2 linked regions of the Oryzias latipes genome follow. The protein of the gene in region 1 purifies or fractionates together with the protein of each later gene. This does not show direct contact. Links are inferred from orthologs where the notes say so. Each region holds a gene or a part of one and is shown in the gene's direction. Other genes may lie near its edges.

The links.
Region 2: the proteins of stk38 (region 1) and mob2 purify together in Homo sapiens (affinity purification with mass spectrometry; 7 studies listed by BioGRID and IntAct, with this or other methods). This does not show direct contact. The link is inferred for Oryzias latipes from reciprocal best matches to the Homo sapiens genes STK38 and MOB2.

The regions. Positions count from the first base shown.
Region 1 is NC_019865.2:33,690,253-33,696,713, forward strand, and holds part of stk38 (serine/threonine-protein kinase 38), read left to right. Parts: intron 1-826; 5' UTR 827-833; coding exon 834-964; intron 965-2,565; coding exon 2,566-2,617; intron 2,618-2,712; coding exon 2,713-2,835; intron 2,836-3,074; coding exon 3,075-3,158; intron 3,159-3,299; coding exon 3,300-3,423; intron 3,424-3,515; coding exon 3,516-3,670; intron 3,671-4,191; coding exon 4,192-4,303; intron 4,304-5,861; coding exon 5,862-5,923; intron 5,924-6,447; coding exon 6,448-6,461. UniProt on the Homo sapiens protein: Serine/threonine-protein kinase that acts as a negative regulator of MAP3K1/2 signaling. Converts MAP3K2 from its phosphorylated form to its non-phosphorylated form and inhibits autophosphorylation of MAP3K2.
Region 2 is NC_019864.2:31,186,709-31,193,169, reverse strand, and holds part of mob2 (MOB kinase activator 2), read left to right. Parts: exon of another isoform or gene 1-36; coding exon of another isoform or gene 37-104; intron 105-1,840; coding exon 1,841-2,001; intron 2,002-2,863; coding exon 2,864-2,960; intron 2,961-4,122; coding exon 4,123-4,247; intron 4,248-5,296; coding exon 5,297-5,595; 3' UTR 5,596-6,461. UniProt on the Homo sapiens protein: Stimulates the autophosphorylation and kinase activity of STK38 and STK38L.

The DNA.
Region 1 (6,461 bases):
ACAAAAGTCCAAACATTTATTATGCACTTTGAGAAATATTCCTACTTCACGTTTCAGCACATTTCTGTAGATCTGAACAGTCTGAGTGAAAAAAAACCAAAGAGTTGAAGGGATGTTATGTTTCTCCATGCACACCGGCCCTCTGAGGTATTTATGCAAATCTGAAGGTTGAAAACATCTGGAATGGGGGCTTCCAGCAGCTGTTCATCAGCTTGGACACTTCAGACATGGTTTCCTTCTCACTGAAGTTTTATTTTTGACACAATGAACCTAGAATGTATGTCTGACATGTGGTCATCGTGCTGGTTCTGGTCTTGGTTTCAAAGGGATCCAGAGCCCTGCAGTCACTGACACAGGCCTCCAGCAGCTAAATCTGCTCTCGACATGTCTGCTGGTGCCATGTGGTCAAAGTGAAGCTGCCCCCTTAGTCCCATGAAGGGATGTTCATGAGCTGTGAAACTCTGACATCCCATCCAAATAGTTTGGCGTCTTACAGCTCAGAGGGCCGGAGACGGAAACGGAGCGTTAACTGTGACCGCCATCGTAACCTTACAAAGGCCTCAGTCTGGGTGGAGATGAAAATGCAAACCACAGACGAGAGCCGCAGCTTTGGACTTTGCTTCCATGAAGACGGTTTAAATCAATATCAAAATAAAAAAGGGCAACAGTATATAAAGCTGTGCAAGTGGACAGATGACAGAAATGTAGTGAGGGTGTCATGGCGGGTCTGAGTCGCTCTCTGAACTCGGTGTCCGACTCCCAAACTGATTCATAATCAGAGAGAAATGACAAATGAATGAGTCTAATTAAAGTTATGGTTTTGCAGATAAAGCATGGCAATGACCGGACAGAGCTCGTTTTCCTCCATGAGCAACCACACCAAGGAGCGGGTCACCATGGCCAAGGTGACCCTGGAGAACTTCTACAGTAACCTCATCGCTCAGCACGAGGAGAGGGAGATGAGGTGAGCTCCTTCCACCAGTCATTCCCAGCATTCTCTGCGTCTGTCAGCTGGAATGCTGGCTGTCTTTTTGAGGGGACGGCTGCAGACGTTCTCGCCTCATAAGATGAAGAAATGCTACTTCCTGTTAGGAAACGTTGTCATTCCTCCTCTGGTTCCAGTACAGAGAATGTTTGATGTCACTATATAGTTTTTCATATCAGGTAATAGTGATGTATATCACAATATAAACCTATATTTGTCTAATGTGATGTGCTCATAATAGAAATGTGTGATCATCAGCAGGTTGTTCAGGTCTAAACCTTTATTTCCATCATCCTTTAAACATAACAGATGAAGGACCGCGATTAAAGCAAAAGCTTTCCAAGAGAACATCAGGAAAACAGAATGTTAAACTGTTTGAGCTGTTCCATTTAAAAACAAAACATTTACTCTACAAATAATTTAATTTTTTTTTTAGTTTTACAGAACAAACATTTTTGTCAACATCCTGTGAATAATGTAGGAACTAAAAGCAAAGTCTCAGAGTTTGTCCTGGTAGTCAGACTGTTGCTGCTGTTCAGGTCTGATCGTTGTTGTTTTTGCTGGAGAATCCTGGTTTCCTTCAGTGACATTGAACATGATTGGTGGATCTGCTTCAGCTGATAAAACAGGTTAATGCTGTTTCCAGTTTTAGAAGGAAGATGACTTCTGCACCATTTGCTGTAAGTTACTCTGTTTTATGTCAGATTTTAAATAACTGTAATAACTCCACACAGAGGCTGAAATAAAAGTTTTGAGTCACCGACCATGTTGGCCGTCTGATTGGATAACATCTACCAGCTAAACATATTTTTTTACTGGTCAAATGATAACATTATTCACACAGAAATACCTTCAGAATTTTCTTTAGGAAAAAATGTAATTGCATAAAAATAATTTATAACTGGTTTGAACACGTCTCTAACGACTTGACTTTGAAAATGAGGCCTAAAAAAGCATTTTAAAAAGTCTTAAATTTTGATATGTTGCTCTTAACAATAGTGCAGATCAAATCTTTTATGATGTTTCTGGTCTAAAGTTTTTTTTTTTCAACCATGATTTTGTAAGTAAAGTGCGTAATGCAGCATCATGCTGGATGCCTACCGCTGATTTAAAAAAAGAGAAGAAGACAAAGCTGTGAGGCTGGGAACTGGAGTCAAGCACACATGACTCCTTCACTGTCCTCTCTACAATGGCTCCCAGGCCACTTTAGAGTTGATTTAGACTTTTTACTTCCCTTTTTTTAAAGTCTTGCATTGACAAACTCCTGCAAACATTTTTGGCCTTTTCACCCCCTGAGGTCCATCAACCAAAAAGCTTTACAAATCCCAAAAGGTTGCACTAAAACCGGAGAAGACCTCACCTTTCAAGCTGTGGCTGCTCGCTCTGGAACGACCTCCCGCTGGCATTTAGACACATCGATGTCTTTGTAGTAATTATAAGGAACTAAGCAACCTCTGGCTGTGTTCAGCATCTGTAAACCGTGTGACTCATGCCAGACAAGTGTGATGAAGGTATTAAGAGGGAAGATCAGGTCTGTAGACAAAACGGGGCAGCAGACCTGATGATCCGTGTGTTTGTAGGCAGCAGAAGCTGGAGAAGGTGATGGACCAGGAGGGCCTGGCTGACGAGGAGGTGAGGCGCTGCAGCATCTGCCAATGAGCAGAAGGATCGACCTGTTCGGTGACGCTTCTTCTTTTCAAATGAAAATCTTCTGCTTCTGTGTGCAGAAACGTATCCGTCGCTCCGAACATGCCAGGAAAGAGACCGACTTTCTGCGTCTGAAGCGAACTCGACTGGGTCTGGAAGACTTTGAGTCCCTGAAGGTGATTGGCCGAGGAGCATTTGGAGAGGTAAGGGGGGGTCGTTCTCTATTTTTCCATCAGGGCCACAAAGAGGCAAACATGGTAACACAGAGTCCCAGTGTGACCTTTACAGTCCTGGAGTTAGTTGATCTTTTTAAACTCAGTAACTCGGATCAAACCGTTTGAAGTTTTGATTCTTTTGTTTGGCCCTTCTGTTTCTGTGTTTTCCTGTGTTTCCTCTGGCCTGGCCTGGCCTGGGATGTTCATACTGACTGCTGTCCTTCCAGGTCCGCCTGGTACAGAAGAAAGACACGGGCCATGTCTACGCCATGAAAATCCTTCGCAAAGCTGACATGCTGGAGAAGGAGCAGGTGAGACCTCAGTGTTCCTGCTGTGGAAAGCTGCTCCTCATCTGCTGAAAGTGGTTCATCCGTTTGTCCATCGTTATCCCGCTTTATGCTAGTTTGTCTCACGTTTATTCCTCCTTGAACTTGGTTCGTCTGTGTCTGTAGGTCGGTCACATTCGTGCTGAGAGGGACATCTTGGTGGAGGCAGACAGCCTGTGGGTGGTCAAGATGTTCTACAGCTTCCAGGACAAGATGAACCTGTACCTCATCATGGAGTTTCTTCCTGGAGGTGAGTCCAGGAGTTTGTCTGCAGCTGTTTTTCATCAGACCTGGACTGTGGTGGAAAAGCTGTCAGGGTGTTGATTGTCATGTTCTCTGAAGGGGACATGATGACCCTGCTGATGAAGAAGGACACTCTAACAGAAGAGGCCACTCAGTTCTACATTGCAGAGACGGTGCTGGCCATCGACTCTATTCATACGCTGGGCTTCATCCACAGAGACATCAAACCAGACAACCTGCTGCTGGATGCCAGGGTGAGTGTCCTCTTCCTCATCCTCCTCCTCCTCCTGCAGGGTCAAAGAGTGGAAGTTTCAGGAGACGTGGACAAATGCACGATGCGACTTTTTGCCAATGTTCAAACCCTTGTTTGAATGTGTCCCTAAACCTAATGAGACGAAGGAAAGGTCACTGCAGTTCAGCTCAGGTAACCAGTGAAAAGGCTTTGTTTGTACCTCAGCCGTTTCCTGTCCTACACTCCAGTCCTTCAAATGGCTGGAACCCAGCCCTGGTTCTGGTTCTTGGAATAGTGAAAGGCTGATGTATAACAGGAGCTGAAGAGAACAGAGGAGGAGAGTTTTGTTTTACACAGTGAGAGATGAATGAATTTACCAGGTTTAGAGTTTGAAGTCTGCTTCAGGTGCTCTGTGTTCATCCTGGTCTTACAGACAAAGCAGATTTCCCTCCAGGACCTGCAGCTGCCCAGTTCTTTGTGTTCACACTCGGGCCAATCCAAGCTACTGAACTCATGCAGTATCTGTTTGCTTGGTGTCTCCAGGGTCACGTGAAGCTGTCAGACTTCGGTCTGTGCACGGGATTGAAGAAGGCTCACTGCACGGACTTCTACAAGAACCTGAACCACAGCCTGCCCAGCGACTTCAGCAAGCAGAGTCAGCAAACACCTTTCTCTATAACGTCTGTGGGGGTTTCTGCTCTGAGAACAGTCTCAGGCTGGTTCAAGCTCCAGGAGCTGCAGACCTCGTGTTGTCTGGCTGTCGACAGCTCCTCCCATACGTTTTTGATTTGGCGTCTTGGTGAAGAGGCGGAGCTGCACCTGTGAGAACCAGGTGCTGATCAACCCAAATCTGGGACGAGCTGTTGTCTGGCAGCCATGAAGTCTGCTTCTCAAAGAGGATGAAGCAGCCTTCCTTCACCCCTCTCCCTCACTGTCTGTCCGAGCTTATGCAGGAACGCGTGGGGGTCAAAGTTACACAATGAAAGAAACGACACGAGAAAAGCTGTGGCGAGTTATCGGCTGAAGTTTCGGCTTCATGACAGGCGTCAGCAGTGAGGACATGAACAGTGACTGTGTGCAGTCTTATGGCTTTTTTTCCTGTCACTTTCACTCCTGACCCCCCCACCCCGGCTGCTGGGGATGCGCTGACGTCTGCTTCAGGTAGAGCTAAGGGGACCTGCCTTGTTAAAGCAGGTTATCAAGTGTCATGGAAAATCCTGCTTCTGTAGGCCGGTGGGGTCAGTTTGTAGGCTAACAGAGGAAGTGTCTGTCTGGATGGAAACATTTATGGTTTTCCTGAAAGCCACGCATAACCAACTATTAAAAGCCCTTTCTGGGATCATTACTTTCTGTCAACAAGTCAGAATAAATAATATTCCTTTGAATGAAATAAAAAATACCCCTGCCCAGGATAAGTGAGGGTCCCAGAATAGCGTTGTAAATATGGCCACCGGAGAAATCCAGAGGAGTAAAACTTGGTTTCATTCATCAATAAAACAGTCACAAAGGTAGCCTCTCTGGGGGCTGCAGCTCCTTTCTGGGGGCTGCAGCTCCTCTCTGGGGGCTGCAGCTCTTCTGGGGGCTGCAGCTCCTCTCTGGGGGCTGCAGCTCCTCTCTGGGGGCTGCAGCTCCTTTCTGGGGGCTGCAGCTCCTTTCTGGGGGCTGCAGCTCCTTTCTGGGGGCTGCAGCTCCTCTCTGGGGGCTGCAGCTCTTCTGGGGGCTGCAGCTCCTCTCTGGGCTGCACTGTGAGCTGCACGTCTGTTTCTTTGCCAGTGCTAATGGAAAAAGGTCATTCTCTTGTCTTCTGCTGCAGCTTGGCATTTCTATGCTTTACATTTTAAAAGTAACTCTCATGGTGAAATCCACAAAGTAGGATTAAAGATGTTGAAGGCATTTTCTGGTCTTTTCTGAGACAGACATGAACATTCTCAAAATGTTCTCTCGTTTACACTCTCAAAGTTTAAACCTTCAGAGAAAAATAGGTCCAGTAAAAGATCTGATCGTGATTTAGGATGACAGACCACAGCAGAGATTGATTGACAGCCAAACAGAAGACAGAACAGGGTGTTGTTCAGGGGCCAGGCTAAATGTGGAGGTGGTCTGAATCTGGCCTGCGGGCCACAGTTTGGGGGCCAGTGCTTTAGAGCAGAGGTGGGGTATTCTGTGGCCTTCCAGCAGGGGGCAGTAGTCTCTAACCTGCCTTCTTTTCACAGCCTTTCAGAACATGAACTCCAAGAGGAAGGCAGAGACGTGGAAGAGGAACAGGAGGCAGCTGGTAGGTGTGGATGCATGCAGCATCAGTGAAGATTATGTTGACATTCAGGCCTGAATGTCCCTCAAATGCAGCATCACCACCAAAGTGTCCAGAAAAATCCATTCAGATGGAGGCTGATAATTCCTGCTGATGTGGTGACCCCTGAAGGGAGCAGCTGACGGGCAGAGAGTTTTCATGTCTGACCTGATTTCCCACATTGTGTTAGGAGCATCTGCTGTTTAACTGCTTTCCTCTAAAGCTTGTTAATGCTCCCGTTTCAGTTGCCATTTGGGTTCCTCGTGCCCACCGCTCTGATTGGACAAAGTGGGAGGGCTCCCTCTGTTTTAACTCTATGCTCTGAGCCTGAACCCTGTAGACCTGAAGGGAGCATTGCCCATTTTAGACAATCCAATGATGTAGTTTACGGATCTTGATCCATTGTTTTACTGAGACTACATCAGTGTGGGAACACTAGAGCTGTCGGTGGTTTGATGCTCTGCAGCTTCAGCAGAAACATCCTACAGCTTCTCTCTGCTCCTCTTCAGGCTTTCTCCACAGT
Region 2 (6,461 bases), on another chromosome or scaffold:
GAGATTTCCGGCTCCTGTCCCGGAGACCAGGCGGTCATGCACCCGCAGAAGAACTCTAAGAACGGGATTAAAATGGTTCTGCAGGCGGTCGGGAAAGTCCTCAGGTACTCGCCTTTGATCTTCCGACACTTTGCTTTCAACCGGGCCGTCAGGAGGCGCGCGCGGGTGGCTCGGACGCCGCTCTCGGTCTGTGCTGCGAGGGCGGGGGGAGGGCGCCCCCACGTGCCGTTTCTGTCCCGCGGGTCCAGGTGACTGTGGGAGATGTGAAGCTGAACATTTCCTGATCAGTGCAGACAGAAATCTCCACCTTTATGTCATGTTTCTGATCTGATTAGAATTCACACTTCAGCCCTGAAAGTTATTTTTTTAATCTTCTCTGATCTAAAACTATAGTCGTCAGATCTTCTTCAGATCTTCTTTAGATCCTCTTTAGATCCTCTTTAGATCTTCTTTAGATCCTCTTTAGATCTTCTTTCGTGGGTTCTTCCTCACACTTGGAATTTCTCAGTGGAATTTGACAGTGATCATATGACTAAACAGGTGGGCGTGTCCTTAAATATGGGCGTGGCGAGCCGGGCTTCACCTGTTTCCAGACAGAAACTGCTGTGGAGACTAACGAGCGGCTGAGCGCTGCCCCCTCTCCTGGAACACCTGGAACAGGTAGAGACGGTCACGCTGCACCTCCTCCTCTGAGGACCGCAGGAGCAAACAAGGAGCTTCAGCAGATGTTTGAGAACCTCCTCCTTCTCCAGACAGAACCCTGAGGTTCTCCTGCTTCTGGAGAAGCTTCTCCTGAGGTGTCAGAACTCTTGACGGCGGGCTGCTAGCTCCGCCCCTAACTGAGCTGCATGTCTGCTGCGTCTTTGTGGACGTCCCGTTGTCGTAGAGCGTCAGGTAGATGTTCTAATGCAGCCTAACCTGGCAGCGGCAGGTTCTTGGGATGAACCCCTAACCTGGGGGAGGGGGTCCCGCAAGAACTTCTGTAAAAGGACTTCATTTGAGGTGGTGGGGGGCTTTGGACAAACGTCCAGACATCTAACTCTGACCTGATGAGCCTGAAGGAGGAAGATGACGATGAGGAGCAGCTGGAGATCTGATCAGAGAACAGTCCTGACATTCATCATGAAGTGGTTCTGACCCGGTTTAATGACTTGGGAAGTTCAAACGCTGATGGAGATCTCTGTATGTTTACTGACCCCCCACCCCACCCCCGTGTGGACATGCCTGCTTGTTTGCAGAGGCTAAAAGCTCTTCCTGCAGAAATACATCGGGGGGGTCAGGGCAGGGAGTCTCTGCCTGGAGCGGGTCGCTGATCTTCGTCTTTCTTCTCCATTTGTGATACAAGCTGCTCAGGGACTAAAAACAGTTTTGTAGAAATCGAACCCGCGAGTTGAAGGTGGGACAGTGTTCTGGCCCCTCTTCTGTTCCTCAGAATCAGCGCCTGGGTCAGTGGGGGAAGGAGGAGGGGGAGCTCTGGACGTGAAGGCGGGGTGTGATGTGGCGTCCAGGTGTCAAAGGCGTCCGTGGACGGCCGAGCGTCTGCTAGAAGTTGGAAAGCTGGCGTGATGCCCCCCCCCCACCCCGTGCTGTTTTCTGTTGGGGGTGGGGTCCTGTGAAAGTTTCTGTTTTCCCAGAAACATTATTGGGGTCATCAGACTGACAGGTGACTTCCTGTTGGCGCTTCTTGAAAATCCGGTTGGTTTTGTTTCACAGCCGCATGACGTGGAGCTGCGAGGGAGATTCCTCCCCCCTCCTTTCACGCCGTCCTCCCCCGACATACTACAGCTTCTGTTTCCTCTTCTCCACTTTAACCCCCCTCCTCCTCCTCTCTGTGTCGCAGGAAGTCCAAGCCGAAGCCCAACGGAAAGAAGGCGCCGGTGGAGGAGAAGAAGCAGTACCTGGAGCCGGAGTTCACCAAAACCCGGGTGGTGGACTTTGACCTGAAGGAGCTGGTGGTGCTGCCCCGGGAGATAGACCTGAACGAATGGCTGGCCAGCAACAGTGAGTGACAAGCGTCTGAACAAGATTGTCCCGCCCAGATCCGGCTCTCTCAGGTGGGCCGGTTCTGGGCGGGAAAAGTTATAAAGCACCTTTCACGTGCATTCAACCATAAAATCCCTTTGAGGCGCTATCCAACATGGCAGAAGCTTTGAGAACAGCAACTTCCTGGTTCTTCTGGTTGGTTCATTAAGGAAAAAGGTTTTCAGCACCGTTTGGTTTCCACGACAACAGAACTTTCAGTATGAAGAACCGAAGCTCAGACGAGCTTTAACCAATAAGGTTCTATAAGAAAAGGAAGTTCTGTTTATTTATGAGTTTAGCATTAAACCACCAAAGACACCAACCAGGATGGGTAGTTTGGATTCTTACCGGTTCTGAAACGGTTCTAACGGAGCTCAAACCGGAGCTTTAAAACAAACTAAACTAAAAACACAGCAATTGAGTCAGCTCTGCCACGAGGCGGTTCAGGCGGTGATGTTTTGGCGCCGAGCGGCTGAAACAGGAAGGCGTTCTGCGCTGCCCACTAGTGGTCGGAGGTTGAACTACACGTCTGCTTCTAAATTCACTCAGGGTTGTTTGGGCTTTCTAGTGTTGACAAATAAAATAGTCCGATACACCCCCCCCCCCCCCCCACCCCGACTCACATGCCTCCTCTGAGCCCCTCTGGGTTCAGCTCCTCTCTTCTGTCATGTGTTTGGGGGCTGATGTGTCACAAACGTTCTGGACGTGTCTGAAGTCAGGTTCCGCAATAACAAATTCCAGCAAGGTTCTGGAAGGTGGGAACCCTTCCAGATTCGGTCTGTAGACCAGAATGTTCGGTTCTGATCCGATTCCTCCTAACGTGCTGCCCTCTCCTCCACAGCGACCACCTTCTTCAACCTCATCAACCTGCAGTACAGCACCATATCCGAGTTCTGCACCGGGGACACCTGCCAGGCCATGAGCGCCGCCTGCAGCACGTAAGCCCCCCTTCCTGTCCTTTAACCCCCGGATCCTCCCGAAGGGTCACGTGAGGTCGGCTAGTTCTGGTCCGTCTGGGAACGGGCCGAAGGGTTAGACCCACTGCTGCTAAATGAAAACAGCAGCTATGCTGTGGCTGTGGTGCAGCGTCCCAGACTGTGTGTGATTCCTGCTGTGCTTTGATCGTTTTCATCAATCAAACCTTGCACTATTGCTGCTGTTTGAAGCCCCGCCCCTTTGCAGTTTTCCCAGGGAGGCGGTTGATCTACCTGCTGTTGTGTGGGGGGGTGTGGTTCCGCCTGTGTTGTTTTTTGGCGGGATGCCTTTCATCCTTCCCGCTGGGGAAGCCGGTTCCACTGGAAGAGCCGCTCTGACCCAGCCGGCCAGGAGGTCGGCCCGGGGGGGGTTTCCACTCCACCCAGAAGCAGGCTTGGCGCCGGCGGGAGGGGCAGCAGCCGGTTCGGTCGTAGGCGGAGCCAGAGATTGGATCCAGAGGAGAAACGGTTCCTCCTCTCTGGACTTCAGTGTCTGTAATTCTGACTGTTGGGCTCCAGTCCCCCCCCCCCCTTTCCTGTGGGTCCCCCACCCTTCCCTGTGGGTGCCCCCCCCTCTGTGGTGAACTCTGGCAGAGCCACGGTTGCAGCAGCGTCATTCTGGGCCTGCAGGCGCCGCCAGCTTCTAAAAATAGAGCAAATGTTTCCATGAGCTCCGGGGGGGGGGGGGGGGCTCTTAACCCGCACTTAAAGCGGTCTATGGTTGGGGGGGGGGCTGGATCCATCCCGGCTTATCCCCCCCTTTGTGGCGTTCACAGCCAAAACCGAACGGCTCTTTCATGAGGAGCTCAGAACTTCTGGAAGGTTCTGGTTTTAAACCCACAGTGCAGCAGGTTTCTGGATTGGGGGGGGGGGGGGGGGGGGGGGGGGGGTATCTCATGATCTCTGAACCAGGAAGGTTCTGGTTCTGATGTCGCCTCTGAAGCAGCAGGTGACGTTTGACAGAGAGGAGGTCATGTGACCTGCTCATCTGACGCACGCTCCAGGAAACGTGGCCCCCACAGCCGATCCTCCATTCCAGACTGTACCCTGGAGTAGCCCCGCCCCCTTTCCCCATGCTGTTGTGAAACGCTGCGGCGGCGGCATTGACGCCATCTTTCTCTTCCAGAACCTACTACTGGTATGACGAGAAGGGGAGGAAGACGAAGTGCACGGCGCCGCAGTACGTCGACTTCGTCATGAGTCTCTGTCAGAAGCTGGTGACGGACGAGGAGATCTTCCCCACTAAATACGGTGAGATCAGCGCCCCCTGCTGGTGCAGAGGCGGAGCTTCAGTGATGCTGCAGAGTCCGACAGGAAGAGTAAACGTAGAGCTGTCATGCCAGATTTACAATCTAACCTAAGAATTTCTGCCAAAAGCCTCATTTTGAGGGTTTTTTAATCTGAATTCATGACATCAAAATATAACTTATGAAGTTTTCCTAAAACAACCTTTACTTTGTCACCAACAAGGGAATTTTTTTAATCTCCAACAAAAATGAGAACCAATCATCCAGTCCAGAGTCTCTGACTTAACGCATAAAACATATTCTCCACAGAGAAACACAGTTTACCGTCCTCCACGTCTGCTTTATCGATGCTAACGAACGCCTGGTCATCACGATGGATCAAAGCTGTGGCTGGTTTTTGGTGGCACATTGATGGAGTTCATGGACTGGTGGGGGGTCCGAACCCCCGCCCTAACTACTAAAACAGTCTATAGTGGGACCATGCAGTGCCCTGGATTATAGAAGCCATTCTGATGCATTTCAGAGTGAAAATCTAATGAACTTGAGCGTTTTGAGATGATTATTTATGAGTCCAGTGTCTTCTGAAGATTACAACGTTTATTAAAAAAAAACATTTAAACGACGCAATGCATTGTGGTCCATACACGCCGATCTAGTGAGCATAGGTTCAGACTGGTTTTTCAGAGAATTCTGGGAAATTTCCTGGGCGCTGCGTTCTGGAGTTGTAGATTCTGACAGCACTACGGAAGGGCGAACGCCAGAGAGCGAGTAAGGCGGGAATTCGGACACAACCAAAGACGGGCGCCGACAGTGACGTCAGACGTGATTGTTTTTGCCATAAGTGTTAATCTGTCTGTAAATATCTGTGATGATGCGATGAAGTCACGCCCCCAATGAAGACACCGTTACACAAATGCGTTTTTTTCCCGTCAAATCCAAAAGATTTCCCCGTTTTTCTGAAACGGCGACGTTTCCGCTTCCCTTTGATCTTCGGAGCGCCGTCCCGGTTGCTCCTCCCGCCCTCAAACCGGTTTCTCCTCTTCCTCCTTCCAGGGAAAGAGTTCCCCAACTCGTTTGAGTCGCTGGTGAAGAAGATCTGCCGGTACCTGTTCCACGTGCTGGCGCACCTGTACTGGGCGCACTTTAAGGAGACGGTGGCGCTGGACCTGCAGGGCCACCTGAACACTCTGTTTGCACATTTCGTGGTTTTCGTGCGGGAGTTCAACCTGGTGGACCCCAAGGAGACCTGCATCATGGACGACCTGTCCGAAGTACTCTGCAACCCCGCCCCCCTCCCCGCCCCCAGCTCCGCCCCCTCTCCTTCCTCACAAAACCATGTCACGGAGAGATGAGCGGGGGCGCCGCGGAGGCCTCTGGGGCGACGGACGACGCCATAGGAGGAGAGCAGCCTGCCCCCCTCCCTCCCTAAAGCAGGGACCCCCCCAACCAACCAGCCGGAAGCAGAGGGGGGGAGGGTTTTTGGGGGGGTGGGGTAGCAGGGAGGGGGTTTGCCCCGCCAGCAGGAATTGGCGTGAGTGTCCCTTTTAGAGACAGCCCCCCCCCCCATCATCAGTCTAAAGTAGGAAAATGTTTCGCCTCTATATTTTTATTTTCATACTTTATTTTTTTTAGGGTGGGGGGCAGCATGTCTGTCCGCCCCTCCCCCATCCTCTGTGTTTCATCCAGCAATGGGGGGGGCTCAGCTTTGCTTCGACTTGCTAATGTATAGAGGAGGCTCCCTGAGGGAGGGGGGCACACCAGCCAATCACTGTTCAGATCGTTTGCTTTGAGGATTGAAGCAGACAGGAAAAAGCCCCCCCCATGGATGATCAATGAACTCACATGAACTCCCGACAGGGGGGGCATCAGATCCTTCAGGACAAAGACACAACGCTGTGTCTGCAGGGGGGGGGGGTCGCCCCCGGAAGTGAGGAAGGTGGTTTTATTTCTACGAGTCCCTTTAATTTTTTAGACCGGATGTTTGGAGCAGGGCGGGTTTGTGGGGGGGCGACGCTGTTACAGGTGGTCCGGTCCGCCCAGACCCGATCCCACGGTTCTGTCAAAGCCTCTGTGTGTGGGGGGGGGGGGTTGCATTTAAAATTCTCCTTTTTATTTATTTTCCGTTTTTGTTCTTGCAGGGTTCCTCGGTTCTGGCTCATTTTTATGTATTTTAATTATTAACTAAGTTAAAATCTAATATTTTAAGCTCTGCGAATTA